Astyanax mexicanus: one gene and its partners. The protein of the gene in region 2 interacts with the protein of the main gene of each other region in a biochemical or structural test. Links are inferred from orthologs where the notes say so. Each region holds a gene or a part of one and is shown on either strand. Other genes may lie near its edges. The genes, in order: plat, lrp1aa and apbb1.

Region 1 (10,248 bases), on a different chromosome or scaffold from region 2:
ATTTATGCATCTTGGCATCATGTTCTCCTCCACCAGTCTTACACACTGCTTTTGGATAACTTTATGCTGCTTTACTCCTGGTGCTTGTTCTGCCAACGTGAAACATTTCCAAATCATCTCAAAGTGAACCGTTAGTTTCAGACAGTAACTGAATAAATGTGTCTGATTGAGTTTGTTAAATATTTGTGATCTGGAATCTGGATGAGCTGCATCTTCATGGTATTTAATTAATGTTGGTCTGATTTGGTGACCACTAAATAAACACCAGAAAACAACTCAGTCTAACTTAACCGAAAGCATTTAGATATTTAACTCAAATCATCCCACATTTATCACAGTTATTTCCCACATTTCCACATCTGAGAGACGGTCTGATCACTAGTGTTAGTGACGGGGAGGGAGGCGGCGCGGTGACGGTGTTGTTGGGCAGTGTGTCGTTGTCTGTTGGTGAGCGTGACGCTGATGGTGAAGTGACGTCCGGATAAAACACCCCTAACTACAGGAGTGTGTTTACACCACAGCTTCCTGTTAGTGAGTGAACTGCAGGATGATACAGGGCAGTAGTCCTGAATATAAACACGCCTGAGTCACGCAGCACCAGATATTCAATCATTTAAATACACTGTGATTACTGTGGGTATATTACATATTCATGAAAACTGATAGTGACACACATTTACATTTTATCACTTTTATTAATATAATATACTGTTTATTACACTGTAAAGACCTGCACACTGCTTATTTAAAATGTTAAGGAAATCCAAAATATACAGAAAAAGGTAACTTGCTCTTAAAGCCACCAACACTGAGGCCGGACAATCTGACAATCTGACAATCTGACAAAGCTGCAGGTAATTAATGAGAAACATCAAGGTCAGAGAAATGAGTAAATTCAGCATCACTGCAGGTGTTTTGTTTGTTAGCATGGAGCATTCTCGGTCCAGTTGATCATTTCCATCGCAAAGATGTCAAACGTTCACCTAACTCAAAATACTTGAGACATAATCGCTGTAAATAAATGTAATCTTACCTAAAAAAATGATTATTCTATTTACATTTTTGTAAACATTTATGAACATTTTTACAGTGCAACACCCCCACTTTACCCCCACAAATACCCAACTGACCCAACCAAACTGAAGTGCTGGATGGAGCTCCACCATTCCAGAGAGACCTTCTCCAGATAAATCTATTCTACTGACAAAACCTGTGCACATCTGTGTCAGTAATTCATGCAACATAAAGTAGCTGAATTCATTCAAACATCTCAAAAATCATAACGATTTCTATACTTCTCAATTCTATATGTATCCTTATTTACAGTCAGGGCTGTAGAAGTGACTTTGGATTTGTGAGTCTGTTTTTTGCAGCCCAAACCTGTTAAACAGTATATGTGTTCGATCTTTGCATATTTTACTGCATATGAAAATATAAATACGATTTAGGATATATATGATTTAGGATATATATGATTTAGGATATATATGATTTAGGATGTGTATGATTTAGGGTATGTATGATTTAGGGTATGTATGATTTAGGATATATATGATTTAGGATATATATGATTTAGGATATGTATGATTTAGGATATGTATGATTTAGGATATATATGATTTAGGGTATGTATGATTTAGGGTATGTATGATTTAGGATATATATGATTTAGGGTATGTATGATTTAGGATATGTATGATTTAGGATATGTATGATTTAGGATATGTATGATTTAGGGTATGTATGATTTAGGGTATGTATGATTTAGGATATATATGATTTAGGATATATATGATTTAGGATATGTATGATTTAGGATATGTATGATTTAGGATATATATGATTTAGGGTATGTATGATTTAGGGTATGTATGATTTAGGATATATATGATTTAGGGTATGTATGATTTAGGATATGTATGATTTAGGATATGTATGATTTAGGATATGTATGATTTAGGGTATGTATGATTTAGGATATATATGATTTAGGGTATGTATGATTTAGGGTATGTATGATTTAGGATATGTATGATTTAGGATATGTATGATTTGGGATATATATGATTTAGGATATGTATGATTTAGGGTATGTATGATTTAGGATATATATGATTTAGGGTATGTATGATTTAGGGTATGTATGATTTAGGATATGTATGATTTAGGATATGAATGATTTGGGATATATATGATTTAGGGTATGTATGATTTAGGGTATGTATGATTTAGGGTATGTATGATTTAGGGTATGTATGATTTAGGGTATGTATGATTTAGGATATGTATGATTTAGGATATATATGATTTAGGGTATATATGATTTAGGGTATGTATGATTTAGGATATATATGTAAAGGGAATAAAAATGTGGAAACAGCGTAAATAATCCTTCCTCATGAGTCTGAAAGCATTCCAGTAAAGGGAGGAAATTCCTCGGGCAGACCTTAGAGAATCCTGGTGCTCATAGTGATAACACAACCGCAGTCTATGAGTTAATGACCCAGAAATGTGTTTCCACCATCTGGAATAAATCAGTGATAATTTAACCTTCATCACTAACACTCGTCTCTGAGCCAATAATATAAAGAATATCTCATACTTACACTATACTGCCAAAATGATTCACTCACCCGTATAAATCACTGATCTCAGGTGATCCTGAATCTCCTCCTCCTCCTTCACAGGTGATTAATAATAAAATCAGCAGAACGATTGAAAGAGCGGATCTCAGGCTCTCAGGAGCTCAGTGAACTCCAGCACTGTCGGACTGTGATAGGATACAGGAGCACCTGTGCAACAAGTCCAGTCATGAAATTTCACTACTCACTACTAAATATTCCACAGCCAACTGTCAGTGATATTATAACACAGTGGAAGAGACTGAGAACCACAGCGTCTCTGTGCTCTGCAGAGTAAAATAACAGAGCAGGGTCAGCGGATACTGAGGAGCACAGTGCACAGAGTTCACCAACTTTCACCAATCCCTACACCAATCACTACACCAATCACTACACACCTCCAAACTCCACGTAGCTTCAGAGTTTATTTTAAGATACTGAGTGATAATAAAACTCTTTTATAGTAAATCTGAAATAGAGCACGGTTGGTTTGTAATGATGGGATGGTTAACAGTGGTATATAAGATCAGTCAGTCGGTTTTTCTGTTGTTGAATTAAAGTGTTTTTAATCAGAAACAGAGACGGGAGCTGTGAGCTTCTGGAGATGGAGACAGGTCTCATTAACTCCACACCCACAGCAGACCAGACCAGACCCATCAGAGACGTTCCAGAGCCTGAAATACTCTCAGAATTACTCTCAGAGACGCTGAGCAGTTTTATTCTTCCTGACGGGGTTTTAGAGGAGTTGCAGTGTTGAGTGAGCATGTCGACAGTAGGACTCTCAGCTGGTTCTGTTTAGGACATGTTTACCCCCAAAAAACCCAAATCTCCTTAATACGACTGCATTGTATTGAGGAGAGGATAGCTGGGGACATGTATTACGAGATTTTAGGGAACAACCTCCTCCCCTCAGTTAGAGCACTGAAGATGGGTAGTGGCTGGATCTTCCAACATGACAATGACCCAAATCACACAGCCAGGATAACCAGGGAGTGGCTCTGTTAGAAGCATATCAAGGATCTGCAGTGGCCTATAGCCCATCTCCAGATCTATAGAAACCCTATAGAAAATCTTTAGAGGAGCACAAACTCTGTGTTCCTCAGCGTTCAGCCCAGAAACCTGCTGATCTGGAGAAGATCTGTGTGGAGGAAAGAGCCAGAATCCCTGCTGCAGTGTTGAAGTGTTGAAGTGCAAACCTGGTGAAAAACTACAGGAAATGTTTGACCTCTGTAATCGCAAACAAAGGCTACTGTACCAAATATTAATATTGATTTTCACAGGTGTTTAAATACTCGAAGTCGCAGGGTGTTCAAATATTTATTTTCCTCACTGTACTTTATTATTTTGTTTTCTTAAAACATGAATATATATATATATATATATATATATATATATATATATATATATATATATATATATATATATATATATATATATATATATATATTCTTTAAAGATATTGGAAAATATAGAAATATAAACATAACTTTAACTGGAACAGTTGGGTGGTCCAACATCTAACATTAATTTAAATGATTTAAGTAGAGAATATTTAATTAATTCAGATTATTCAGGCTCACAGTGTGATAATTACATGAATTTCAGGAGTTATTTCATATTTCGCTTCACTTCTTCTTTTCCCGGGTTCGGTAATCAGTTTGGCACAAATACAAATCCTTTATAAATCACATTACATCACTGATACACTATTACTCACCCTAACCCCCAACATCCTGATCAGACCTCAGAACTGATTCAGTACCAGCCTGAGGAGACACTGACCCCTCCCACACACACACACACCCACACTCACACACTCAAACACACACACACACACACTCAAACACACACACACACACACACACACACACACACACACACACACCACTCACACACACACACACACACACACACACTCAAACACACGCACACTCAAACACACACTCAAACACACACACACACACACACACACCACACACACACATGCAGTGTTTTTTGATTCTTGTGAGGACCTATCATTTACATAGTAATAATTGTAGGTAATGCACACTATACCTACACCTAACCTCAACCTTAGTCTTAATCTTAATCTTAACTTTAACCTCATTGATCAGAAGTAAATCATTTTATTCTTTTTCCTTTTCTAATTAAAATTCCTAAAATAACTAAAATAACCCTTTAAAATTATAAGAAATGCAAAATCACAAACCAACAGATTATTACAGATCACTACACTGTGAGTCTGGATACACTGAATTTAACTAAATAACTTGAAAATTGACTTCAGTCTGTTGCCATTGACCACTTATTTCCTATTGGATGCTGGCACCATCTATTTGCATATTGTGTGTGTATTCCACCACCAGTTTCTGACATTCACCATCAGTGTGTAGTCGCCCCCCCCCCCTCCTCCTCTGGCTACTTTACATACACTTACAGGTCAAATATTCTGATTAACTTATGATGAACTACTTCAGCTCATTAGACAGCATCTTTTATGCATAATTAAACAATTAAATGAATTTACTTGATGTTTTTGTTTTATTAAATAATTTGCACAATAATGCTCCTCTAAATTTTAGTGTAAGCTAATTAAAAGGATTTGTATTAAACCTTGTTTTAATATAAACACTTACATTTGAACAGTTAAGTTAGCAGCTCAGAAAATAATATTTGCAAATATATTATATAAACATATAGACCAAGCAGTTAATCACAGGATCTACAGGATCTACAGGTTTCAGGTGTCACAACCAGTGTGCAAATATATTTTACAAAAAGTCAATAAAAAAGAAGCGATTAATTGCAGCAGCTTAAACTCATTTAAATTATATTAAGTTGATTCAACTTAAAGATCTCTGTTTAAATGTAATTGTGGTTCACTCAACTCAAAAACGTGCATCTGGTCCTCACAAAAGTAGCAAAACGTGTATAAACACACACACACACACACACACTATCCCGGGACAGCGTGCCAAAAACCCCGCCTACGATGCTGCATCATCACCGACATCATCAGCCCTAGCCCCGCCCCTTCCCGCGCGCGACCAGGAGGGGATAAAGGCTCGCGGGTCCTCTGTGGGCAGCAGTAGAGTCTCGCGCGCTCAGAGCGGCTCACCTGTGGATTAGAGGGGAGGATCTTCACCTGCGCTGATCTGAGATCTGAGATCTAAAAGAAGGAGCTGAAGGTAAGAGCAGGTCTGAGATCAGTCTTCTTAATGCTCTTAATGTTTTGGCAGGTTATATTGGCTGTGGGTCAGTGAGGGGGTTTATCTGAGGGAGGGGCTCAGTCTGACTGATCCTGATACCGCAGAGTTACATCAACAAACTCCTCACTATTGTAACTATACTCTATACTCATACTCTATACTCTATACTCTACACATACTATACTCATACTCTATACTCTATACTCTACACATACTATACTCATACTCTATACTCTACACATACTATACTCATACTCTATACTCTATACTCTACACATACTATACTCATACTCTATACTCTATACTCTACACATACTATACTCATACTCTATACTCTATACTCTACACATACTATACTCATACTCTATACTCTACACATACTATACTCATACTCTGTACTCTATACTCTACACATACTATACTCATACTCTATACTCTACACATACTATACTCATACTCTATACTCTATACTACTGTAACCATACTCTAGAACAGGGGTTCTATGCTGGACCCACATTCATAGAATACAAACCAAACTAACCAAACTTGCTTCAAAAAACAATTTAAACATAAATATGCACGCAAAGTGTATTTAAGAGCATTTTTAAGAAACTATGGAGTAACATGATCTAGAACTACATGTATAAAAGTTAAATAAGTTAAATAAGACCATTAATTTAATATTTCACTTCTCTGCATTCAGAAATCATTAGTAAGAAATTCTCTCTCTAGCTCTATCCGGTCAGGATTAGTTTCTCAGGGTGTTCTGGGTAATTTTTTCTTTTATGGGGGGGTTTTATCCTCTGTGATTTTATTCCCGTCCAGAACGATCATGTAGGTGTTTTTCTCAGACGTCCTCTGAGAAAATTACAGGCTGAATTATCTACTGTTTTTCTCTGAACTCCGTGCTCCTCCGGTAATTTTAGTCCCGTCCGGACGCACATCTCTGAGTTTCGTCTCCTCACCTTTAATAAAATAGATATTTGTCCACTGTCGCGCACCGTAATTACAGTTTGGATGCACCACGGTTTCCATGGAGATCCACGTTAAAAAAACACAAGAGCGAGTGGAAATGGAGGAGCTACTGAACTCCGTGATGTGACCGAGAAAAAAGCCTAAAAACTCACTGATCCTCCTGTTTTTCAATTGCAGTCCAGATGCAGGAGTTTTATCACTAAAGAGTAGAAGTGTGACATTTATGTATATTGTCCCACCCCTACTGCATAGTGCTGCATTTTAAATGCTTTTCATTGAGCATTTGCAGTTTAGCCTGTTGTGTGGATGTTTGAGTGCATGTTTTAGCTCTCTCTCTTTCTTTCTTTCTTTCTTTCTCTCTCTCTCTCTTTTTCTTTCTCTTCTCTTTCTTTTCAGTCTTTTGTTTTCTCACACACTTTCACACACAGCTGTGTTACTCAGCGGTGAGTCAGCGAGCGGCTTTCAGTGTAAATCTCTCTCCCTCTCTTTCTCTCTGCCTGAGCTCTCTCTCTCTCTCTCTCTCTCTCTCGCGCTGTCTCTGGTTTAGAGAGGAATGCTGGTAATTGCTGTGAGAGTTCCGCTCGGTGTTCCTGGTTATCAGGGATGAGACCCTCTATCTGTTCTTATCTCTGGGAGGGAATGCAGAACCCATTACTGTGTAAACTGTGCGGACAGGATCTTCTCAGACCATTCTCATCTCAACATCTCATCTCAACATCTCACCCACCACTTACTGAGTTATTATCACAATATGCTGCCCACAATATCAGTGATATCACAATACTGTGATTCTGCAATCAAGAAATAATACGCTCGAGGTTCGTGCTATAACCTGTAATATCGGCGCTGCTGTGCTGCAGTTATAGGTTATAGCAAAAACCTTGAGTGTATTATAGCGATTATTATACCACAGTTCCATTATCGCTGTTTATTGAAAGATTTTAAAGAGTTAAAGAGGAGGAGAAAATAGGATCTGTTTGGTTATAAAAACTCCGTCAGTTAAATTAGTTCCATTGCTGCTCTGTTTGTAGCTGTGCTGTTTGGCTTGTAAGCGCTGCTGCATCGTTGCTAGGTTACCTGTATGTGGTGGAGTAATACGTACATGGAGAGCTTCGATACAGTGCCATTACTGGCTGATAACAGCACTCATAGAACGCCTTTCAGCCAATCACATTGCAGGATCGGAACTAACTGTAGTATAATACTGGATATATCACAAGACAATTCTGTATGATATTCACAGCGTCTGTGTTTCTGAAAAAGATACTCATAAATAATACTCATAAATAATGAAATACCAGCCTGGGCTTCAGCATATAAGTGTGTCTGCATTCCTGTGTCTGTGTGTGTGTGTTGGTGTGTGTGTGTGTGATGGTGTTTTATGAGAGTGTCTTTACAGGCTTTGCTTTAGTCAGCAGGTTCACAGCATGCTCTACTGCGCAAGCTTTGTCTGTGTGTGAGTGTGTATGTGAGTGTGTGTGTGAGTGTGTGTGTGAGTGTGTATGTGAGTGTGTAGGTGTGTGTGTGAGTGTGAGTGTGTGTAGTCTTAAGTCTGGTTCTGGTACTGAAAATGTCAAACACATAAACACACCAAAAATGAAGGTTGCACTTCAGTTTCTGAATCAGTTTCTCTGATTTTGCTATTTATAGGTTTATGTTTGAGTAAAATGAACGTTGTTGTTTTATTCTATAAACTACAGACAACATTTCTCCCAAATTCCTAATAAAAATATTCTCATTTAGAGCATTTATTTACAGAAAATGAGAAATGACTGAAATAACAAAAAAGATGCAGAGCTTTCAGACCTCAAATAATGCAAAGAAAACAAGTTCATATTCATAAAGTTTTAAGAGTTCAGAAATAATCAATATTTGGTGGAATAACCCTGATTTTTAATCACAGTTTTTTTTTCATGCATCTTGGCATCATGTTCTCTTCCTCCACCAGTCTTACACACTGCTTTTGGATATCTTTATGCTGCTTTACTCCTGGTGTAAAAATTCAAGCAGTTCAGTTTGGTGGTTTGATGGTTTGTGATCATCCATCTTCCTCTTGATTATATTCCAGAGGTTTTACATTTGGTAAAATCAAAGAAACGTATTTTTTCAGAGCTGTGTATCATGGCTCATTCCCTACATCTAGAAGTAGAGGGTGATGGAAAAATGTGTAAATTAAATTGAAATGTTTTTTTAGCAGAGTACTGATGAAATATCACTAAATCACAGCTCAGGCTGGAATGCAGAGGGTGATTTAAAGGGTTTCTGAGATTTCTTATAATTCTTATAAATTCTCGTCTTATAGTTATATATTGTGAATAATTGTTAAGAAAGTAATAAGATCACTGTAACCATATAAAACATCAGAGCAGTTAAATATACAGTGCTGTATGATCACAGGAGCAGAATCACTAAAATGAATGCAGGCCTGCAAAGCACTGTAAGATGATACTTAATGTGTGTGTGTGTGTGTGTGTGTGTGAGTGTAGTGTGTGTGTAGTGTGAGTGTGTAGTGTGTGTATGTGTGTCTGTCTGTGTTCTTTGTTGTACAGAATGACTCAGCTGTCCTCCTGTACACGTGTTTCTGCTCCATCACTGTTTGGTGCAGTTTTTCTTTCTTTCTTTTCTGATCCCTCTCTCTCTCTCTCTCTCTCTCTCTCTCTCTCTCTCTCTCTCTCTCTCTCTCTTCTGCTCTCTGCTAACAATGTGTCTCTGTTCTGCTTCTGCAGCCTGAGACAGGATGCAGATTACCCCCCTAACCCTACCCACACACACACCCACACCCACACACACACACACACACACCCACACACACCCACACACACACACACACACACACACGCACACTTTTGCATTGGGAGGCACAGATGTATGTTGTGTATATTTGTGGTGTATATATTCTGTATTCTATTTAATGACCATAAACCAACTTCAGAAACCAGTGGGAGAGTTTCTCCACTGAATTAAAAAAGGCATTTAATTCACTCAGACGTTTCTGTGGCTCAGGAATACCACTGCTGTCTACTCACTCTAAAACCCAGACAGCTTTAAATGTGTGAGAGAGAGAATAGAGAGAGACAGATAAAAAGAGAGAGAGAATAACGGAGGAGAAGAGCGCTGTGGGTTGGTGGTGATGGTCTGTTAGTTTTGGGGGGATTTTCCAAGAAAATTTCTCCAGGAAGAAACAGATGTTCAGTTTGATCCAGCTGTAGAAAGGTCACAGTGTGTGTGTGTGTTATGTGTGTGTTGTGTGTGTGTGTGTGTGTGTGTGTGTGTGTGTGTGTTATGTGTGTGTTGTGTGTGTGTGTGTGTGTGTGTGTGAGATCACTCTCATGTCTTAGTGACCATATGTTTCCTGCAGTGGGTGAACACGCTGTCTGTGTCTCACATCCTTTATATTTAAAGTAAACAGAGTTAACCCTTTACTGTAATGTAGTTTCTTCAAA
Region 2 (9,709 bases):
GCAGAAAGATGGTGGAAGAGAGGAGGAGGAATACCGTGTCTAGACCTGCATGTAATCCTTCATGAGGGTTCCACACAGTTGGCTGCATGTGGGCGCTAGGCAGGCGTAGGCTGTGAAAACGTGAGGGTAACCAAAGCTGGAGTCAGGAGAACTAAGTCATTCTCCAAACCGGAACATTCCAGTAAACACTGTGGGAGATTCCACAGCGGATATTCTGAGCACAGAGTTTACAGATTCATACAAACTCAGAAACAGACGGACCAAATCCAACACTGGACAGTCAGCAGAGACTCAGACCCGTCTAAAGCACCCTAAACAAAATAACAAAATAAGAGAAAAATAAGCTTTAGTTGAGAAGTGATAAAGTGTGTCAATTATTATACTGGTATTATCTTAACAGTACAAAATATCTTGAAACAATTATATTTGTGCAACATAACCAGACTGCAGAAACCAATAAGCAGCCCAACACACCAGCAGGCTGGTAGCCCAAATGTTCTACAACCCAGCAGCCCAATGGTCTAATGGCCCAACAGCCCAACATCCAGCAGCCCAACTGCTCAACAGCCCACTGGCCCAACAGTCCAGCAGCCCAACTGCTCAACAGCCCAATGGCACAACAGTCCAGCAGCCCAATGGCCAAACAGCCCAGCAGCCCAACGGCCAAACAGCCCAGCAGCCCATCGGCCAAACAGTCCAGCAGCCCAATAGCCCAACAGCCTGGCAGCCCAACTGCTCAACAGCCCAGCAGCCCAACAGCCCAATGGCAAACAGTCCAACAGCCCAACTGCCTGGCAGCCCAACTGCTTAACGGCTCAGCAGCCCAACAGCCCGGATGCTAGGGCTGCAATGATTTGTTGATATAATCGACAATGTCATTGTTAATTTGTAACAGTACTACATTACAAGTATCTTATTACACAAAGTCCTGGGACAGAATCTCAATGGAAGATGGGTGAATGGCTCACTCACACAGATTACAATCAACTTTTTTTTAGTGTCTCCAAAATTGCCCAAACACAACAGATTACATATTTAATCCCAAAATATCAGTACTTTCTGCGTTTAAACAACATCCAGCATTTAAATGTCTTTTAATTCCCATATTCAACTGTTTCTATTGTTTTTAGAGATGAAGAACATGGCAGAAATATGTGTTGACTAATCAACAAATCGAAAAAATAATAATCAGATTAGTCGACTACCAAAATAATCATTAGAATAATCATTAGTTGCAGCCCTACCAGACACCCAACAACCCAAAAGCCCATCTTTCATAATTGCTAGTTAAAATTCATGTAAACTTCAATATAATTCGTAGTGAAGGGTAAGCAACTAGTCTGAGGCAGGTGGTATAAACTGTGGAGGAGATGAGGTCTTACAAATACTCAGGAGCGAGCCAATTTAGGGCTTTATATGACATCCTGGCAACCCAACAACCAATAAGCCCAACAGCCTGGTGGGAGTGGTTCTCACTTCAGATTAAATAAGGATTAAACTGTTCTGATGCTGCTCTGTTCTGGGAGAACCATTGGAGAACCAGCTATGCCAGCCATGTAAAAAAGCATCACCAGGGGCTGCTGCAGCCAAGCAAGCTATACTGAATGTTCACATTATACCAGAGTGAAAGAGAGAGAGAGAGAGAGAGAGAGAGAGAGAGAGAGAGAGATCAGACATAGGTCTAAGGTTAGAGGTTATGTGGAGGTCAGTTGGATTCTGACTGTTCTAACTTAAAGCACTAAGAATCTGACTCTGATCCTCTGTAAATCTCACAGAGTTCGCTTTCTGGTACTGACTGAACCAAGCTGAGTGAGGAGGTTTCTCTCTAACCACTGCGTTTAGACAGTCTGTATCCCACAATCCCATTCTGTTATAGTTGTCTGAGCTCCTCCCACACAGTCTGAGTTTATACAACTCTCAGAATTTACCTTTACACCAATCTCTCTCTCTCTCTCTCTCTCTCTCTCTCACACACACACACACAAACGTCTCCACAGCCAGAGCTGGAGGGGGCACACGGGTTAATGGTTTCCAGTGGTTTGAGGATCTGGCAGGGCACAGTGAGGCAGACTAAGGCATAGGGAGGCACATTCAGGCACAGTGAGAAATAATGCAGCGAGGCACAGAGGGGCACAGTAAAAACACAAAGAGGCACAGCAGGGCACACTGAGGTACAGCTGGCCACAGTAAAAACACAGGTAGGCACAGTGAGGTACAGTGGGGAACTGTGAAAACACAATGAGGCACAGTAAATACAGTGAGGCACAGCAGGGCACAGTAAAAACACAGTGAGGCACAGCTGGGCACAGTGAAAACACAGTTAGACACAGTCGGGTGCAGTGACAAAAAGGACACACAATGTGGCACAGTTGGTGCAGTGAGGCAAAGGACACGTAATTAAGGAAAGAACACATAACGAGGCTGGGCACATTGAAAACACAGTGAGGCACAGCGGGGCATATTGAGTCACAGTAAGGCACACAGCTGGGCATAGTGAAAACACAGAAAGACAAAGTGAGGCACAGATGGGCACAGTAAAAACACAGTGAGGCACAGCTGGGAACAGCAAAACACAGTGAGGCACAGTTAGACACAGTGAGGCACAGCTGGGCACAGTGAAAACACAATGAGACACAGTGGGGTACAGTGAAAACAAGCCACAGCTGGGAAAAGTGAGGCACAACAGGGAATGGTAAAAACACAGTGAAGCACAGCAAGCTTAATGGTGTACAGCGGGGAACAGTGAGGCATAGTGGGGCACAGTGAGACAAAGGACACACAGTGAGGCACAATACAGTGAGACAGTGTGACACACCGGAGCACAGTGAGACAAAAGACACAGGGAGGCACAGTTTGTTACAGTGAAGAACAGGAAGGCACTCTCCTTTAAGTGTTCTAGAGTTGGAACTCCTTTCAGATTTTCTTTAGATTTTCTGAATATTTATGATGACTACTGGATGACCACAGCAACTTGAAGGTCAGAATGGATCAGCAAATGAGACCCAAACCATTTTAACCAGGCAGATGTTCTGTTTACCTGTTTGTCTGTTTACTGTTTGGCGTCCCAGGATGAGATAGCATAGTTTTGCTCAAGAAATGAGACAGACATTACTTCACAGTATGAAAACACACTTAAACACACCTTCCACAACAAGCTAAAAGAGAGAGAGAGAGAAAGAGAGATAAAGGGCAAGACTCTTAGTTTAAGCATTAAATTAATTATTAACTGATTTAGTAATCATTTCATTTTCACTATTGTTTTTTATTTCTAATTTTACTCTGTTTTATACTATATATCAGGATTGCCATTTCCCCAGGATTGCCATCACCAGGAGGGTGAGGACGAGTGAGATACTTGTGAAGTCAGACCCCGCCTCTATTCCAAGTGTCTCCAATTACTATACGAAGCATCACAATGCTCTTAGAGGAAAGCGCCGGATGCCCAGCTCTGATACATCAGCCAGTGGAAGCCTGTGCTGGCCAGCATCACAATGGGAGTGATGAATTGAGAGAGCGCCACCTACTGTAGCCACCTAGAAATAGCATGTCCTACGGTCCTCTCTCAGACTCCGGCTGCAGATGGAGAAGCAGCAGCAGCATGACCATCTCAAAGCTGCTCGTGTGGATTTTATATTGTTTATATATAAAATATATTGTTATATTGTTTTTTTTGTTAATGTTGATGTGCTTTAGGACAACAAAAGTGGAACTATACACTGACAGCCCCTCTCGAGAATAACACTAGAGTGGGTTACTTTGTGACATCACAACAGCAACAGATGTGTGTGTGTGTGTGTGTGTGTGGTATGCGTTGTTTAACTACAGTCTGATTAAAGTTCTCCGCAGTGGAGTCTGAACCAAACCGAGATGAACTAGACTATAAGCCTCTCGCTGCAGAACCGGGAGAGAAGCGCGAGCTCACTGCGCACAGAGAGCAACAGCTGCTGCACGGCGAGTCTCCCCGCGCGTGCCGAGAAAGCAGAGCGCGCGAGAAGTTGAGACCCGATGTACTCACCGTCCGCAGCGCGCGGGGGCTGCACCTCCAGAGCGCGCAGGAACCCCAGCAAGATCAATCCCACCGCCGCGCCCGCGGGCACGCGCAACATCATCCGGCTCGTGCAGTAAAACTACAGTTCAAATAGCCTGAAGGAGCTGCGAGCCTGCAGAACCGAACCCTCCAGAAGAACGCAGCAGTCTGGGCTTAGCTGTCCACTGTCCCAGTCTTCCTCCTGCTCCTCCTCCTCCTCGCGCGCCGCCGCGTCTCAAGGTTTCTTCATGCTTCAGAATCCGGGGAGCAGAAGCGCGAGCGGCTCAGACCGTGCCCTCACCCACACTGACTCTCTCTCTTTCTTTTTCTCTCTCTCTCTCTTTCTCCCTCTCTCTCCTTCTCGCTCTCTTTCTCGGAGCTCAGGATTCAGCCAATCAGAGCAGAGCGCGGTGAGAACAGAAACCGGGAGCAGTCATTCCTCCTCCAGGTCGCTGGGGGCGCTGCTGATCTCAGCCTGCAGATGTTTTAAACACAGCTGATCCGGTTCTGTGAGAAAAGGAGGGAGAGTTTGGAGGAGAGCAGGAGATCTAAGTTAGACTGTCCAGAAACTTCTGCTACTCCCTTCCTCCTCCATGTTTCCTACTGCTTCTCTACTCCTCCACATTTTCTACTGCTCCTCTCCTCCCCTTTTTTGACATTTCCTACTGTTCCTGGCCTCCTCCACTTTTCCTACTGCTACTCTCCTTCTCCTCCTTTCCTACTGCTCATTTCCTACCAGGTGGAGGAGAGGAAGAGGAGGAGGATCAGTAGGAAAAAGCAGTATAATGTGGGGTTTCTGGATGCAGGTCAGGTCAGGTCCCTCTGACTTTTATAAACACCAAAAGATCACAATTGTATTCTGGGTTCTGGCTGTGGAAGTTAAATAAGCACCAGCACACTTCCCTTACTGCACAACTATATATCATAAGTGTGTGTGTGTGTTTTGTGATGTTTTCGAGACTCGAGAACTTTGACTACTTGGTTGGAGAGAAATTATTAAATTTATACTCTTTGAACGTTGTCAGAACTGCAGCTTTGGGTCACTTGGGTCACGACTGCCCCTATAAACACTCCAAGCGTGAAAAAGATCCATCCATCTGTGAATTAGCTGAAAGAGTTTGGTCTTAGGAGTTTCTATGGGCCATTTGGTTGGCTCCCTTATTCTGATGTCACAAAGAGGAAACTTAGCATAGAACCACCCTCGCACTAGCTCTCAACATCAACTTCCACCAGAGCCCCACCCACTAGATCAGTTAAAGATCTGACATTTTTTACATTTTGGTTGAAATTAAGAACCTCAAACAGTACACACAGGATTTAACCATCCGTCTTTTTCTGAGTGAGGACTCTATACCTACTTCTCTGTGGCAGGTCAGCAGACAAGGAAAAAGTAAGTGCTGTCAAATGATGGGTTTTTGTGTTTCTATCACAGTTAAGCATGATTTGGCTTGTTTGAGTTTTGCAATTTAGCATAAGCTAACGTTTGATAAACTCTCAGCATATACAAGGCATAGCCTAAAAGTGACAGAGCTGCTCATTCTGAAAGGGGCTAAAACTGGCAATAATAAAGCTAGTGAAATATCTTTATGTGAGAGTGATTTTGTGCCCATAGACCCAACTTTCAACTTGTACAAAGTATGTGTATAATATGTATAATATGTCCTCTTTACTATGTGTATTTTCCTGTAACTGTGGATGTTTGTAGCTCTGCCACATCTCCTTTCTTATGCAGAAATCCTAAAGTACGCTATAGCAGCTGGATCTGCATGTTGGACATGCTCACAGTTTGTTGGACTGCACGTCAAACAGTTCATCCGTGTCTTGGGATGGACTGTAACTCGAACATGGGGATCTCAGACAATGCGCTGTCATGGTTCAGATCGTACCTCACTGGGCGCTCGTTCAGGGTGTCATGGCAAGTACCCAGCCCACTCGTTACCCAGTGGGGTTCCCCAGGGTTCGGGACTGGGACCTCTTCTCTTCTCAATATACACCACCTCTCTAGGTCGGGTTATCCGCTCACATGGTTTTTCCTACCACTGCTTTGCTGACAACACTCAGCTATACCTGTCTTTCTCACCAGATGATCACTCAATCTCTGCACGAATATCACAGTGTCTCTCAGACATATCCGCATGGATGAAGGAACATCACCTCCAACTAAACCTCTCAAAGACTGAACTTCTGGTCATACCAGCAAAACCTTCTATTCAACACAACTTTGCCATAACCATCGACTCTCTCTCTCTCTCACCGACAAAGGTTGCTAGGAACCTGGGTGTCATGGTTGATGACCAGCTTCTCTTCACGCACCATGTGGCCTCAGTTGCTCGATCCTGCCGCTTTGCGCTTTACAACATCGGAAAAATTCGACCGTTTCTGACGCAACAGGCCACCCAACTCCTGGTACAAGCTGTGGTAATCTCACGCCTCGACTACTGCAATGCCGTACTAACTGGCCTCCCGGCCTGTTTAGTAAAACCACTACAGATGATTCAGAATGCAGCAGCACGTTTGGTCTTCAACCAACCAAAACGGGCACATGTCACTCCGCTGCTCATTGAGCTCCACTGGCTACCAGTTGATGCTCGCATCAAATTCAAAGCGCTTACAATCGCCTACAAGGTGATGACAGTACAGGCTCCTTCCTACCTGCACTCACTCCTGAAGGCTTACGCTACCTCCCGGCCGCTGCGCTCCTCCAATGAACGTCGCCTCGCTTTACCAAACATTCACACAAAGCAATCCAGACTGTTCTCATACAGAGTTCCCCAATGGTGGAACAAACTACCTTCCACTACCAGATCAGGAGAATCTCTCACTATCTTTAATAAACTCCTGAAGACAGAGCTCTTCAAAGAGCACTTACTCTCCTAACACCTCTAACAAACTAACTAATTCTAACCTCATCTCCTTCTTCCTCTTCTCTACTCCTCTATCCCATTATTTCCCTCTGACCTCCTTAAGGCCCTATCTATAGATGCTTTATTTTTAACTTCTATTATTTTTGTACTTAACCTCTTCTATTATTTGCACTTCAATATTGTAAGTCGCTTTGGACAAAAGCGTCTGCCAAATGTAATGTAATGACTGGCTGTAGGGAGGGCCGGGACAATTCCTGGTGGGGGGGTGGCTCTGTGTGTGGGCCTCCAAAAGAGTTAAAAATAGAACCTGATTTACATTTTCTAATATTGAATTGTGCATGACAAATCCCCAACAACACCCTGTTGCTTCCTCTAGCATAAAACGTAATGTAAAACAGCCTTAAAAAATAAAAGAGAAGAAATGAGTTTAGTAATAATGCACAATGAAGAAAGCATATAAAAAGCTCAAAGGACACAATAAAAAGTAAATACCACTGAAAACCACATAAAATGGCCTAAAAATGCATGATTTGTTCAGCTGTCAGCAATATACAGTAGAATATGAAAAATGTAGAAAAATAAAGCTAACCCAGCGTTCAGAGATCATTAGCTCTGTTAGCTAGCATGCTTAGTCTCAAATGACACATGTTCCCTACTTTTTTAAAATGACCAAACATATGGTAGTGCAACTACATACTTTTTGAGGTGTATGCAAACATACTATGAGCGCCCCCCTCTTTTTTGATGTGTATTATCAGGGGCGTTGCCTGGGTATGTAAAAATCCGTGGCTCAGCCCAGTTAATTATATTAGTTTATTAGCTGATGAGTTGGATCTGGTGGAAAACATACAATTTTAGGGCGGAGACCAGGGTTAAGAAACTCATTTAAACTAAGTATAGTACTAAATCCTGGCTATCCACAACATCCAGCTTCTAGCTAACTGGTTAGCTAAATTTATTTTCTTTAATTATAGCTTTGAGTAATCCTGCAATCCTAAATTAACAAAAACAATTTTAAAATGAAATAGTTATTGGTCAGGTACATCAGGGCAAGTTAAACATATATATAGTTTCATTTTCTCAAACCTTGATCTGTGTTTTGATTATACTAGCCCACCACGCTCTGCACTCCTCACTCCTCACTAATATTACAGCTGAGCTGAGTGAAACGATTCGGGGCTAGTGGAAATTTACTCGGGGCTAAAGCCCCGGAAGCCCAGGGCAGGCGACGCCCCTGTGCATTATCATACATGAACAAACAGCTCTTACAGAAAATGCCGACTAGAATTCATTTTCCGGCATTGATTTGGCACCCCTTCTAGCGCTGCGTACCCCCTTTTTGCACCACTGAGTGGGCTGGTCTAGATGTAAGTCCAATGCTGAATTGAATTCTCAGTCCCACTGTGACACCTGTAGATCTACTGGACACTTATTACCATGTTTCTGTTCAGCCTGACCACAAGTATAGCTGGTGTTTGGGTAGAGAGCACTGGTCCAACCTTGCTTTACAATGGCCTAATCGACCTCCACCCCCTTCCCCTTCCTCACCCGCACAAGCTTGGGCCCCCTTTCGCGTGTCGGACTGCCTGACATTCCTCAACTTTCCTAAGCTTATTAGGACGTCTGCAGCTTCAGCAGTTATCCCTCAGTTCTGCTGTGGCTTTCGCTGTTCTCCCGGATTAACCTGGTGAGTTCTGACACAACAGGGTTCCCTGTTCTACCAGTGTCCAGTAACTTAGGGCGTTTTCACACCTGTAGTTGGTTTGTATGGTGCAGATCAGTTGATGAGTTTGTTTATTTGGAGAGTTTTCTCCCTCTGTTTGGTTTGGTTTCACACAGGCATAAATCTAAACTCACCAAAATGTGCACCAAAAAACCGCTCAAGCACGCTGTCTCCTCTAATTGGTCAGAGCTGTCTGGCGCATGAGCAAGAATGTAGATGAAGCAACAAGATTCTGTGTACCAGCGCAAGTATATGTGTGCAGCGTGAAGCTGCTTTAACACAGAACTCTGAAAGTTTTAGCACATGTACACGTAGTAAACTGAGTCATATGGCTGCGAGTAGTGAATGCAGCACAGACCGTGCACGGAAACAACACTGAACAGAGACAGCGTTTGTTCATAGCTGTGGTAATTAGAGTTATCTGGCTAATAGGTCAGATTAAACTGTGTCTTATCAGCCGTTTAGCTAAAATAAAAGAAGTAAGTTTGATAGCTGGGTCAGATCGAGACCTGATCACGTTCTCACCACAAGTGAACCGCTCCAGAGTTCGTTTAGGACCGGACCGAGACCACCTCCACTAACTGGTCAACGGTTGTCTTGATCCACATCAGAGTGCGATTACTGTTTTCACACCTGCTCAATCGAACCGCACTAAGGGTATAAACAAACTAGAGTCCGTTTTAACCAAACCAAATAGTGCTGGTGTGAAAACGCCCTTATAGAATTCTTGCCGAGATATTGACCAGTTTACCTATCTGGTCTGGTCCTGAGCTTCAACATTTGGTCAGATTGTCTCAAATATTTCCTTCAATTCCCACCAATCCCAAAAACAATACGTAGAACCAACTATTTTCAATCACATTGTTCTTGTGGTGGTTCTACGTCAGGGTGTCAAACCCGGTCTTTTACTGCTGCTGCCTTTACTGAAGACCTGCCGTGGCAGCTGCCACTCAAGAAGGGTCTTCCAGCTGGAGGGAGTGCCAGGATGGAGCCACAGCTAAAGGACAGTGAGCTGTCAGTCATCAGGCCTGTGGGAGCATCTTCAGTTCAGACTTTGTTTCGCATCACTGAACTAATGGCTGAGCAGGTGCGAGT
Region 3 (10,634 bases), on a different chromosome or scaffold from region 2:
CCCACCCTCTCTGCATAACCCCTCCCAAGGGAGATGCCCCACCCCTGTCATCCTCGTACACAGGAGAACAGAAACATGCCTACAGGCAGCCACACACACAACCCAGAGCCGCCACAATATATAAAAAAAAACATCTTTAGGTTCAGCTTTTCTGTTATTAAACAGTTTAGGATTGCATTACAACATTTCATCTACTGTTTTATACCAGTTTTGTTACAAGTACAATTTTTATGCCTTTTGCTCACCTGTAAACAAGAAAGTGAAGCAGACACACTTTGAGAGAGTGTTGCAGGATATTGGTTCACGATCACATTTGTGCTCAGCGCCCCCTAGAGGTTTCAGAATGAAACGGGTACAATAAAAAGCCAAGGCATGAATATTTGGATCTCCTTTTGCTGTACTTATTCTGCAGCTGATTGTTGCTTTACAATGCTACACTGACCACTTACACACTAATGGAGAATTATTGGTTTCAGCAGTTGGTTTAAACTAAGCTGACAACAGTTGAGAGAAAGGTTGGATATAGACCCACACAACTATAAATTATGAAAACGTTCAAGTGTTTCAGTCTCCCAGACATCTTGGTTGCATTAATAATTCGAAAGGGTCACTGAAAGGCTGAACGTCTTCTGAGAGAAACCACAGCCAGGCCTAAAGTACAAAGTCTGGTTTACATTCTGGCCTCTGTGAAAGTTAGTAGGAGGTTATAAGTGGGGGAACGCTCAGAAGCTATCGATTCTGCATAACAAAACATCTAAAGAAAACATAGGAGTGGGCTTAGATGTATTAACATGTTCCATGATGAGATGAAACCAAGATTTGGCCACAATTTTAAAAAAGTGCTACATTCAGACATAAACCATCCCCGATGTAAAGCATGGTGGTGGTAGTACTATGACATGAAATATGATTATTTTAAAATGATTCTGGAACTAGTATTTTTTAGAATACACTGAAAGCACTAACTTTTGTAGAGTTAAAGAGACTTTTAATAGACATTCATTGTTATGTGCATTGCTGTGAGGATTTGATTGTATTCAGCAACAAAAAATTAGCACCTGGAAATGGAGTAAAGGTGCTACTAAAGGTCTACATTACTACATCTATGACAGCTATAGGTGGTTGTTAATCTGGGAATGGGAAGAAGGTATTGATTCTGCAAAACAAAATATCTGAAGAAGACACAGGAGTCTGCTTGAATGTTACATGATGAGTTACATGATTTTTTTTGCTAAATTCAAAATGATCAGAAAATGTTATACATTTAGAATGATTGTGGAACTATTTTAAGAAAACACTTTGTTAGAGTAACTGACTCTATTGTCCAGTTAAAAGAGGTTCATGTTTATCTACTTCAGAAAGTCTTATTCTATTGGCGTACTAGACAAGCTGTATGTGTGCATTAGCACAGACTGTGACAGCAATGGGTGGTAGGGTATCTATGAAATAGTGACACTTATTACTGTTTAAAAGTTTGGAATCAGTTTTCATACTCTACAGCGAGTCAAAGCCGCTATCGCCAGCTCTTCTTCTAATTGTGGTGGCTTAGGTTATTTTAGTTCGTTTTGTTTAAAAGGTCACTACACTGAGCTAGACAACAAATGTGGCTATATGTTGTGTTTAATACTTCAACAAGTTGTTAATGAATAAACAAGACACTGTAATTATTTGTGCACAAATACAAATAATTTTACATAATGTTAAAAAATGGCTACAAACAACTTTTGAAACATCTGTAGGTAAATATCTTAATATCTTCTGTTGTTTTTGACAGTGGCATAAATGTGGCAATAAATATATACTGATTAGAAAGTATCATAAAATGTTCCATGGGCTGAATGCTTGTGCAAGGAAATGCATGAAGGGCATAGTGTGGTCAAACATACTTCCTGCAGCTTGTTTTGACTGTGTAGCATCCGGTTGTGGCTTCTGTGTCCCCCTGCAGGAACGTGTTCCCTCCCGGTGGTACCCTCCAGAGTACTTCAAGAATGATTTCTATGGATTCAAAGGGGATGTCTGGTCATTTGGGATTGTATTATGGGAGATGCAAACATTTGGTAAGTGTCCTTAAATTAAATTAAGTTAAATTACACTGAATGTGAGAAGAATAAATGCACCCAGAAGGATTTTACCAACAACAATGAAACTGGGTGTGTAGATGTACCAGACTATCATGGAGTGCCATGGACTTAGAATGGCAGCAAATCATCTTCAGTCCTTCACTAGTCCTGCTTAAGTCTTGTTTGAGACCCTACCAACAAATTCATGTGTTTTCAGCATGACAGTGTTCATCCACATACTGGTGCCACCTAAAAATACCATTGGGCTTTCTATGAATACTTATTTTTAATTTTTTATCATTTATTGTTTCAGGTAACCTTTAACTTCTTTCTGAATAGAACTGAAATCAACACTTTCATCTGAGTGCTATTTTTTAACTTAAATGTACATCTCTGGAAAAAATGAAGAGACCACTTCAGTTTCTGAATCAGTTTCTCTGATTTTGCTTTTTATAGGTATATGATTGAGTTTGAACATTGTTGTTTTATTCTATAAACTACGGACCAACTGACTCCTAAATTCCAAAAAAAATAAATGTAATTTAGAGCATCTATTTGCAGAAATTGCTGAAATAGATGCAGAGCTTTCAGACCTCAAATAAAGCAAAGAAAACAAGTTCATATTCATAAAGTTCAGACATCAGTATTTGGTGTAACAACCCTGTTTTTTAATCACAGTTTTCATGCATCTTGGCATGTTCTCCTCCACCAGTCTTACACACTACTTTTGGATAACTTTATACCACTCCTGGTGCAAAAATTCAAGTAGTTTAGCTTGGTTTGAAGGCTTGTGATCATCCATCTTCTTCTTGATTATATTCCAGAGGTTTTCAATTTGGTAAAATCAAATAAACTCACAATTTTTAAATGGTCTCTTATTTTTTCCAGAGCTGTATGTTATTTGTATCGTCTTTGCTATGTCTCTACTAAACTGCTATAAATAACCCTAATTTACATTCCTCAGGCACTTTGCCGTACCCAGACTTGAACACATCGGAGGAAGTAGCACGCTTTGTGTGTGCTGGCCACAGAAACAGTGAGCCTGAACAGTGCAGACCTGAAATGTGAGTGGAAGTGAAGAGGTCTTTTCACACCTCTCAGTTAAAAACATATTATGGTTTCTACTGACATTTAAGATGGGGTTGCTTTTGCACCACAGCAGTGGCATGTGCTAAACTCCTGTTGAGTCTGGATACATGCAGAACGACATACATTATATGTCCTAATGTTTGTGGACACCCTTTCTAATGAACCGATTCAGCTATTTTACTTTTGCACTCATTGCTGACAGATGCATGTACATGTGTAGATGCATAATACCTCATTTCAGGTGTGAATATTTAGCTGTGGAACATAATGTGGAGATCTGTGCTTCATCCAATACTTTCGGAATGAGTTGAGTGTGGTGGTGAACATCCAACTTTCTGACTTCACTAATGCACTTATCAGTGAATGCTATCAAATCCTCACAGCAATATTCCAAAATCTAGTCAAAATCCTACTTCTCTGGATGTTAGATACAATTACTCCAGCAAAGATTTAAGCTATTTGTAAAACTCATGAGTATTCTGGGATTATTTGTTTGTGCATAAGTGAAAACAGACCCTGCTACTAAAATCAGCAAGCTGCGTTTAAGACATACATGCAAATATGCACTTAGGTGTTGGCAATATTGCCCTAAAATAATATCACAATATTTGTGTCGATATGACAAAACATTGAATTAAAATAAAATAATTTCAAGAATACACTGAAGGAACAAAATTAATATTATTGCATATGTCACGATACTAATAATGCACTGCATATATCCAGGACTGAATAAAATAAAAGATATTGTACAGATATAATCTTTCTCTAGTAGATATTTATTGGGAAATGAAAACAGTGTACATTTTCCTTTTGCTACAAACTGTAAAAAAATGTTTTACCCTCATGGCCAATATGGCTCTAAAATAATATCACAATATTTTAGGGTTTTTGTGATGATAATATTGCATATGATTTGATACTTTTGTTCAGTGTGGTTTATGTAATTCTGTAACTTTCTCTGTAATTTGCATCGCAGCCAACAAATGATGATGGACTGCTGGCAAGAGCCTTACTCCTTAAGGCCTTCCTTCATGGACATTGTGGGAGTTCTGGAAAACATTCTTGAAAATGATCGTGTGAGTGTCCATCAGACTTATTCTTTGTGGCTTTTGTCATAATATAGCATAATATTTATTCTTAATGTTATTCCTATGAGTGAATGAACTGCAGTACGTATATTAAAATAAAACATCACATATTTTCTTTGTCTTAACAGGACTATGTGGACATAAATGAGAGTAGCTCGGTGGAGCCTGTAGCTTCAGATACTGTAACAACATCTGAAGTGCATACAGTGTATTGTAATGAAAGTAAATGCTAGCTCAGCACTGTTAATCAGGTTAAAGATGTGGATTTAACGAGTATAGGGGAAAGGCTATGGTGAAGCCACTGGAAGCCACTTTTTTTAAAAAGGGCTTGTGTGTTTGTTTAAATATTGGTATTGTTATTTAAAGACTGGCTGACTCCAGAGGGGGGCAGGGGGGAAACAGTGTCCTAAAGCAGGGCTTTTATGGCTTTTAATGGTATTTATGACTTTTCCATTCTCCTAACACACCTGACTCAACCAATCAGCTCATTAACAAGCCACTTTAGAGTTGCAGTGGGTGTGTTGAAGCAGGCAATTCACTAAAATATGCTGTGCAGGAGGGTGTCAGGACCAGGATTGAAAAACTCTGTCTTAAATGATGCCCTTTCCAGTAGAGACAAAGGTACACCGTGCTGTATAGGGTTCTACTATACTATACAAGTGTAAAAACATGAGTTATAGAGAATTTTTTCATCAGTGAATTAAACATGATCTAAGGATGTAAATACATAAAAAGTACACTGTCAAAGTTAAATATAGTCTGTAATAAAATAAATATATTATTTTACCCTGTGTGATGTCTCATTTTTGTTTTTTACAGTTTAATACTACAATGTGAGTTTGAAACTGCTGTTTGAAGATAAAATATTTACATAATGTTGTGATATAGGAGATTAGGTTGATGTTGGAAGACAGAACAGTTGTTAAGACAATTCTGTGATAGTCACAGATTTGAAATAGATGGCATGCTGGTGTTACAAATGAATACTGATACTTAACCATTACATTTTGTTTAGATTTTCATCATATTATATCATATATAATATATAGTATCATATATCACAATTTATCTTAAGCATAATGAGATATGAGATTTTACCAGCTTAAATGTCCACAAACATTTGGTCATATAAAGCATGTGGAAGAGCAGTGAATAAGATTAGTTAAAGAGAGTAAATAATTTGTGTCAGTATCTTAAACAACTACAACCCTTTCATTTAATCATTCAAATAAAATAATTGCATCACTCCACTTCATGCATTAGCAATCAGTTTAGTTGTAGTACACATGGCTTTGTATAGACTACAGTTCAAAATATAATGCTGCAATAAAAACTGCATTTTCATGAGAAAAGAAACTGATTTTAAACTAAAAGTAGCATATTGCATTACTAAAAAAGAACATTAAAAACAAATTAAAAACGTTTTTTAAATAAAAGAAAATAAAAAGAGCAGCATATTGTGCTTTACTTCTTATGCAAAAAACGACAAATCTGAGGTATAAATACTGCATTACTGAAAAAAGAGACTCTAAAGACGTTTTTAAAAACTTAGAAAATAAAAGGAGATAGTGATGCATATTGTGCTTTAATTCTTATGTAAAACAAACCGATTTAAATCTACAAACCGATTAAAAAACTACAATCATGAGGTACAAATAGTGCATTACTGAAAGAAGAGGCTCTATACGTATTTCAACCTTAGAAAATAAAAGGAGATAGAAGTAAAGCACAATATGCTGCACTAACACAAAACAAACTAATTTAAAAATACAAACGTATTTAAGCGCATAACCACGAGGTAAAAATAGTGCATTACTAAAAAAAACCTTTAAAGACTTATTGAACACATTAGAAAATAAAAGAGATTACTTCTAATGCAAAACAAACTGATTTAAAACTAAAGTTACAAACCGATTTAAAACTACAATCTTAAGATAAAAATAGTGCATCACTAAAAAAAGAGGACCTAAAAGCAAATTAAAGCCGTTAAATGAGATACTTCTAATACAAAATAACTGATTTAAAACTACAAACCGATTCAAAACTACAATCCTGAGGTAGAAATACCGCATTATTAAAAAAAAAACAGGCCCCTGGTAGTTGACGCCGCTTTGACGTGGGCTGTGTGACGCAGGCGGAGGCTAGCGGAGCAGCTAGCGCGGTTAGCCCCGCTGGTGCAGCAGCGCTGTGAGTAAGAGCGGAGAGCTGTGAGCTGTGAGCGGTGGGCGGCGGAGGAGGTGGAGGACATTTTTCCGCTTCGCTTTGCTGGATTACACGAGCCGCTGGATATTAATGAGTCGCTCTGGATAGAAGGTGAGTTATGGTGGTCGCAGTGTTTGGTTTATGAGTGTAAAAGGCGGTAGTAGAGGCTGGGTTAGTGCGGTTGTTCGGTAGTTAGCGGGTCGGGGTGTGTTTATGTTGTGGGAGTGAGAGGAGGGGGGGATCATGGAGGGCGATGCTAGTAGCGAAGGCTATGAAGAGATTTGAGCCGATATTACTGACTGTAGTTACTGAGTGACGGTGTAAAAGTCGTGTTTTAATTATTCTGATATCATGTGATATTTCTGGGCTTGTATTCTGGTGGTCTGAAGGCTGTCGTTAAGCTAACGTTTAGCTAGCATCCAGCGCGAGCAGCTAAGCTAACTTAGCTAGGTTAAGCTAGCTCTAACCAGCTGTAGCTAGGTTAGTTAAGCTAAATGCGCAGCTAACGTTACGGCCCAGCTTAGCCGAGTCGCTACACACAGCTGGGACTGCGGAGCTTTATAGCTGCTGGCTGTGTAAAGGCTGCTGTGCGGGCGTTGTAACTAAAATTGTTATATTTCTAGTGATATTTTGATTATATTAATAGATAATGCCGTTTCTGCTTGTGTAGATATAGGTTAGCATATCTAGATAAAAATAAGGTAGGTCCAGTCACACTGGCTACATGGGCATGTAACGTTACTCATCCACACATTTGGATGGATACGCACCTAACCTAGCTTACGGGTACATAACTAAGTGAAGTTACATGTGTCCATATACATATAGGTAGATTTTTACAGTTTATTTAAAACAAACACAGAATATGAATAAAATACTGACACATAAAACATACAACAATATTATTTTACCTCAGTCAATCAGTGACATTACATAGTAATACTAGAGACCCTGGCCTGTGGGAAAACTTAAATTCCATTGCTACCCGGAGCGGCGTCTGAGTTTCAAAAAAATAAATTGTAATAACTGGCCTGGTTTTGGCTAAAACAGCTCGCAACAGGTGAAACCTATTAGCTAACCAGATAGAGGTGTGAATTACCGAAGGGATGAAGGTTATGACCAGTTAGAGAAACCTGAACAATTTATCTGTCTATCATTAAGTACGATACAATAGGTTAATTATCAGTGTTCAGTGTTAAGTGTTCTATCAGAATAAGATGAACCTTTTTTTCCGCTCATTCATCTGATATTGAATTGTATAAAAAAAAAACAGTCTGTTTTTGTAGATGAGTTAGCCTACCATCTCAAATATTTACTATACTAGCTCAACACTGTCTGCTAAGGGTGCAATTAATTATTATTTTGGTAGTTGACTAGGATACAATGATTTAAAATAAAAACATTTATTTTACCCATACCCTGTCCCTCTGCTTCCTGTAAGTATGGCTCATGTTCCTAGTTTTCTCTATCGCTTAAAAACAATAGAAACAGCAGGATGTGGGATTTAAATGCCCGTTAGATGCTCAGAAGCCATTTTTGGGCACTTTTGGGGACCCAAACCAAGTTGAGTGTAAACTGTGTAAGTGGACCCATTACCCTTGCCCATTGTATTTATGTCCACAGCATTTTGTGTAGTGCATTGCAGTTAGTCAGCACATTTTTATAATCAACATTTTAGATTTAGCTGATTAATCATTGCAGTCCTAGTGTCTACCCTTCTCACAGTGTGTAGTGTGACAGTGTAATTTAATTTATGAGTGCAGTATACCTGTTGTAACCTGTTGTAAGGGGGATTCCCTTGTGTACTGTACCTAAATGAGAACAGTACTCACCACCCCAGTTGGGTAGTAAGTTAGTTATTAATATTACATTTACTAACTTAATAAAAACCTTAACAAAGTATTACGTTAAATTATCAGTTTTTATTTGTAAACTCTATTAAACTGTGTTTGGTGTCATCCCTCCAGAAACCATTTCCACACAAATTAACCATGACCCAGTAGAATACATAAAAACTTAATGGTACACACTAATACTTCTCTGGGTACCAGGTCAAGACAAGAGGCTCTATTTGTAATGTTAACTGTGTACAAGTACACAGTGGAGCAAACCAACAGTCCCCCAGGACCATGGCGGAACAAATAGCAACACAACAGCTATACAGAACAATGCACAAACAAAGAGCAAAGAAACAATACAATAAATGCAGTAAATAGAACAGACCATGCAATTAGCTGCCATAATTTTGCTTGACTATTGGCTTAGGATGTTGTTCTAAATAAATTCTAATGAAAGTTGTTTTCTAATTTTTTTCTGTGGTTATTCACTCTTCTGGCAATCTTTTCCAGAGGCATCCAGCTCTGTGCCATGTCTTTAGAGAGCTCTTCAGACCTGGCCAACGAGAACACCTGTTTGCCCCCGTCACTGACCCTTGACCTGCGCTGCCCCCACAGCACTCTTTTAGACACAGAGTTAGGCAAAGCTAAAAGCTCCTGTACCTCCTCTCCCAAGAGCCGCCGTATCTACGCCAGCACCACCCAGTCCCAGCTTCTCAACGGCATCATGGGCGGACTGGATGATGAAGCTTCCCTCCAGCACCGTGAGGAGGAGTGGGCCAGGAATCAGGAAAACGAGCAGGGTCACCCTGTTCCAGGGAGCAATGCCAAGTGGATGAAGGAAGGCCAGAACCAGCTGCGCAAAGTAGCAGAGAAGCAGCAGGACCTAAACAGAAACCCGGACCAGAACCTTAACCTGGTCGAGAACGAAAATGAAAACGAAAGCCCCGACATGAACCCCAACCGAAACTCCACGCTTGGGGTGCAGGGGAGTGATGTGGAGAATAACAAGACCCTGGAGGTCCTATGCTCTGACGTAGATGTTAGGAACACCGCCAACGAACCCATTCTGATTGATACCTCTGAGGCCCCCATAGGCAAGGAACGAGAGAATGAGAATGAGGAGGAAGAGAAAGAAGAAGAGGAGAACTTCCCTCCTGGCAGTGGAGAGAAGGACACAGACTCCTCTGAGACACAGAGCTGCAGTGAGTCGAGGAAAGACAGTGAAGGCGGAGGGAGGAACACATGCTTACTGTTCAGCAAGAATGGAGCTAGTGATGAGGACTCCAGCTGTATGTCTCTGTCTCAGGGGAGCACTGCCAACAGCACCCCTGATGGAGATCCAGGTAGCTTGTCTCAACCTGCTTCATGCTTGTCTTTACAGTTGATCTATGGAAAGACTTATGCTTATAGTAAAGTGTGCATATTTATTGAAGATTGGTCATTACCTTGTGAACATTTTCACGATTTCTGTGAAGCAATAGAAGTAGTTCAGAATGGTGTTAGCCTAAATAAACCTTGTAATGCGAATGAAAGTTTAGCACACTTTCTTCACAAATGGAAAGCTGTTCCTATACTGTACTATAATAACATTTTATAATACTGTATTTTGTGTAATAAAAGCTTGTTTTGGCCATTTAACTTTTAGTCAAAATACTTTAAAGCATGACCTGTTTTTTGTTTTGAAAGTGGCAGTTTGCTGAAATGTGGATTGGCAAAGTTGTATATGAACATCAGTGCCTACTACAGCAGTTCTAATTACTCTGTGTTTTTGTTTTTTTCCAATGCCACCCCCACTACCATCTGGTGTGGCTACTTAGAGTCTTATTGGGACCGCAGCGCGTTCGAGACCGACACAGACCTGCCAGCCGGTTGGATGCGTGTGCGGGACACCTCTGGGACCTACTACTGGCACATTCCTACAGGCACCACACAGTGGGAGCCACCTTCTCCCCTAGAGGAAGGTGCAGCCCCAGAGAGACCATCCAGCACCTCACCTGCCATTACCCCCTCTGAGGAGCCACAGGTACAAAGAAAATGTTGATCGTACTTTTACCATGTTAAGACATAATAGATGGTTTTCTTACTTCTTGATTTAAGGGAATGCATTTGTTTAAAAAAAAAAAAATTAAACGTCGTAAAGTCTCACTTTCCTAGCTGAATTTAATGTACAGAGTGAGGCAAAACAGGTGCAGGACATCCTTTCATTGTAAGGGAAATTAATAAAACAAAAAGGAATATGACATCTAAATACCCCAGCAAGTAATGGGTGAGGGGGGCCTATCTTTTTGGCTGCGTTTGGAACATGGCCTTCATATTGAAAACTGCATATTTGGTTTCTGACAAAAGTGTGTCCT

What was found.
Region 1: the proteins of lrp1aa (region 2) and plat form a complex in vitro, tested with the Homo sapiens proteins (2 studies listed by BioGRID). The link is inferred for Astyanax mexicanus from reciprocal best matches to the Homo sapiens genes LRP1 and PLAT.
Region 3: the proteins of lrp1aa (region 2) and apbb1 form a complex in vitro, tested with the Homo sapiens proteins (2 studies listed by BioGRID and IntAct, with this or other methods). The link is inferred for Astyanax mexicanus from reciprocal best matches to the Homo sapiens genes LRP1 and APBB1.

The regions. Positions count from the first base shown.
Region 1 is NC_064419.1:209,453-219,700, reverse strand, and holds the start of plat (tissue-type plasminogen activator), read left to right. Parts: upstream 1-5,687; 5' UTR 5,688-5,809; exon of another isoform or gene 5,810-5,819; intron 5,820-10,248. UniProt on the Homo sapiens protein: Converts the abundant, but inactive, zymogen plasminogen to plasmin by hydrolyzing a single Arg-Val bond in plasminogen.
Region 2 is NC_064431.1:17,166,763-17,176,471, forward strand, and holds the start of lrp1aa (low-density lipoprotein receptor-related protein 1), read right to left. Parts: upstream 4,347-9,709; 5' UTR 4,110-4,346; coding exon 4,016-4,109; intron 1-4,015. UniProt on the Homo sapiens protein: Endocytic receptor involved in endocytosis and in phagocytosis of apoptotic cells. Required for early embryonic development. Involved in cellular lipid homeostasis.
Region 3 is NC_064427.1:28,561,511-28,572,144, reverse strand, and holds the start of apbb1 (amyloid beta precursor protein binding family B member 1), read left to right. Parts: upstream 1-6,408; 5' UTR 6,409-6,553; intron 6,554-8,739; exon of another isoform or gene 8,740-8,790; 5' UTR 8,791-8,809; coding exon 8,810-9,623; intron 9,624-10,097; coding exon 10,098-10,303; intron 10,304-10,634. Other genes in the region: fibroblast growth factor receptor homolog 1-like, read left to right, coding at 1,946-2,057, 3,025-3,124, 4,129-4,228, 4,369-4,473. UniProt on the Homo sapiens protein: Transcription coregulator that can have both coactivator and corepressor functions. Adapter protein that forms a transcriptionally active complex with the gamma-secretase-derived amyloid precursor protein (APP) intracellular domain.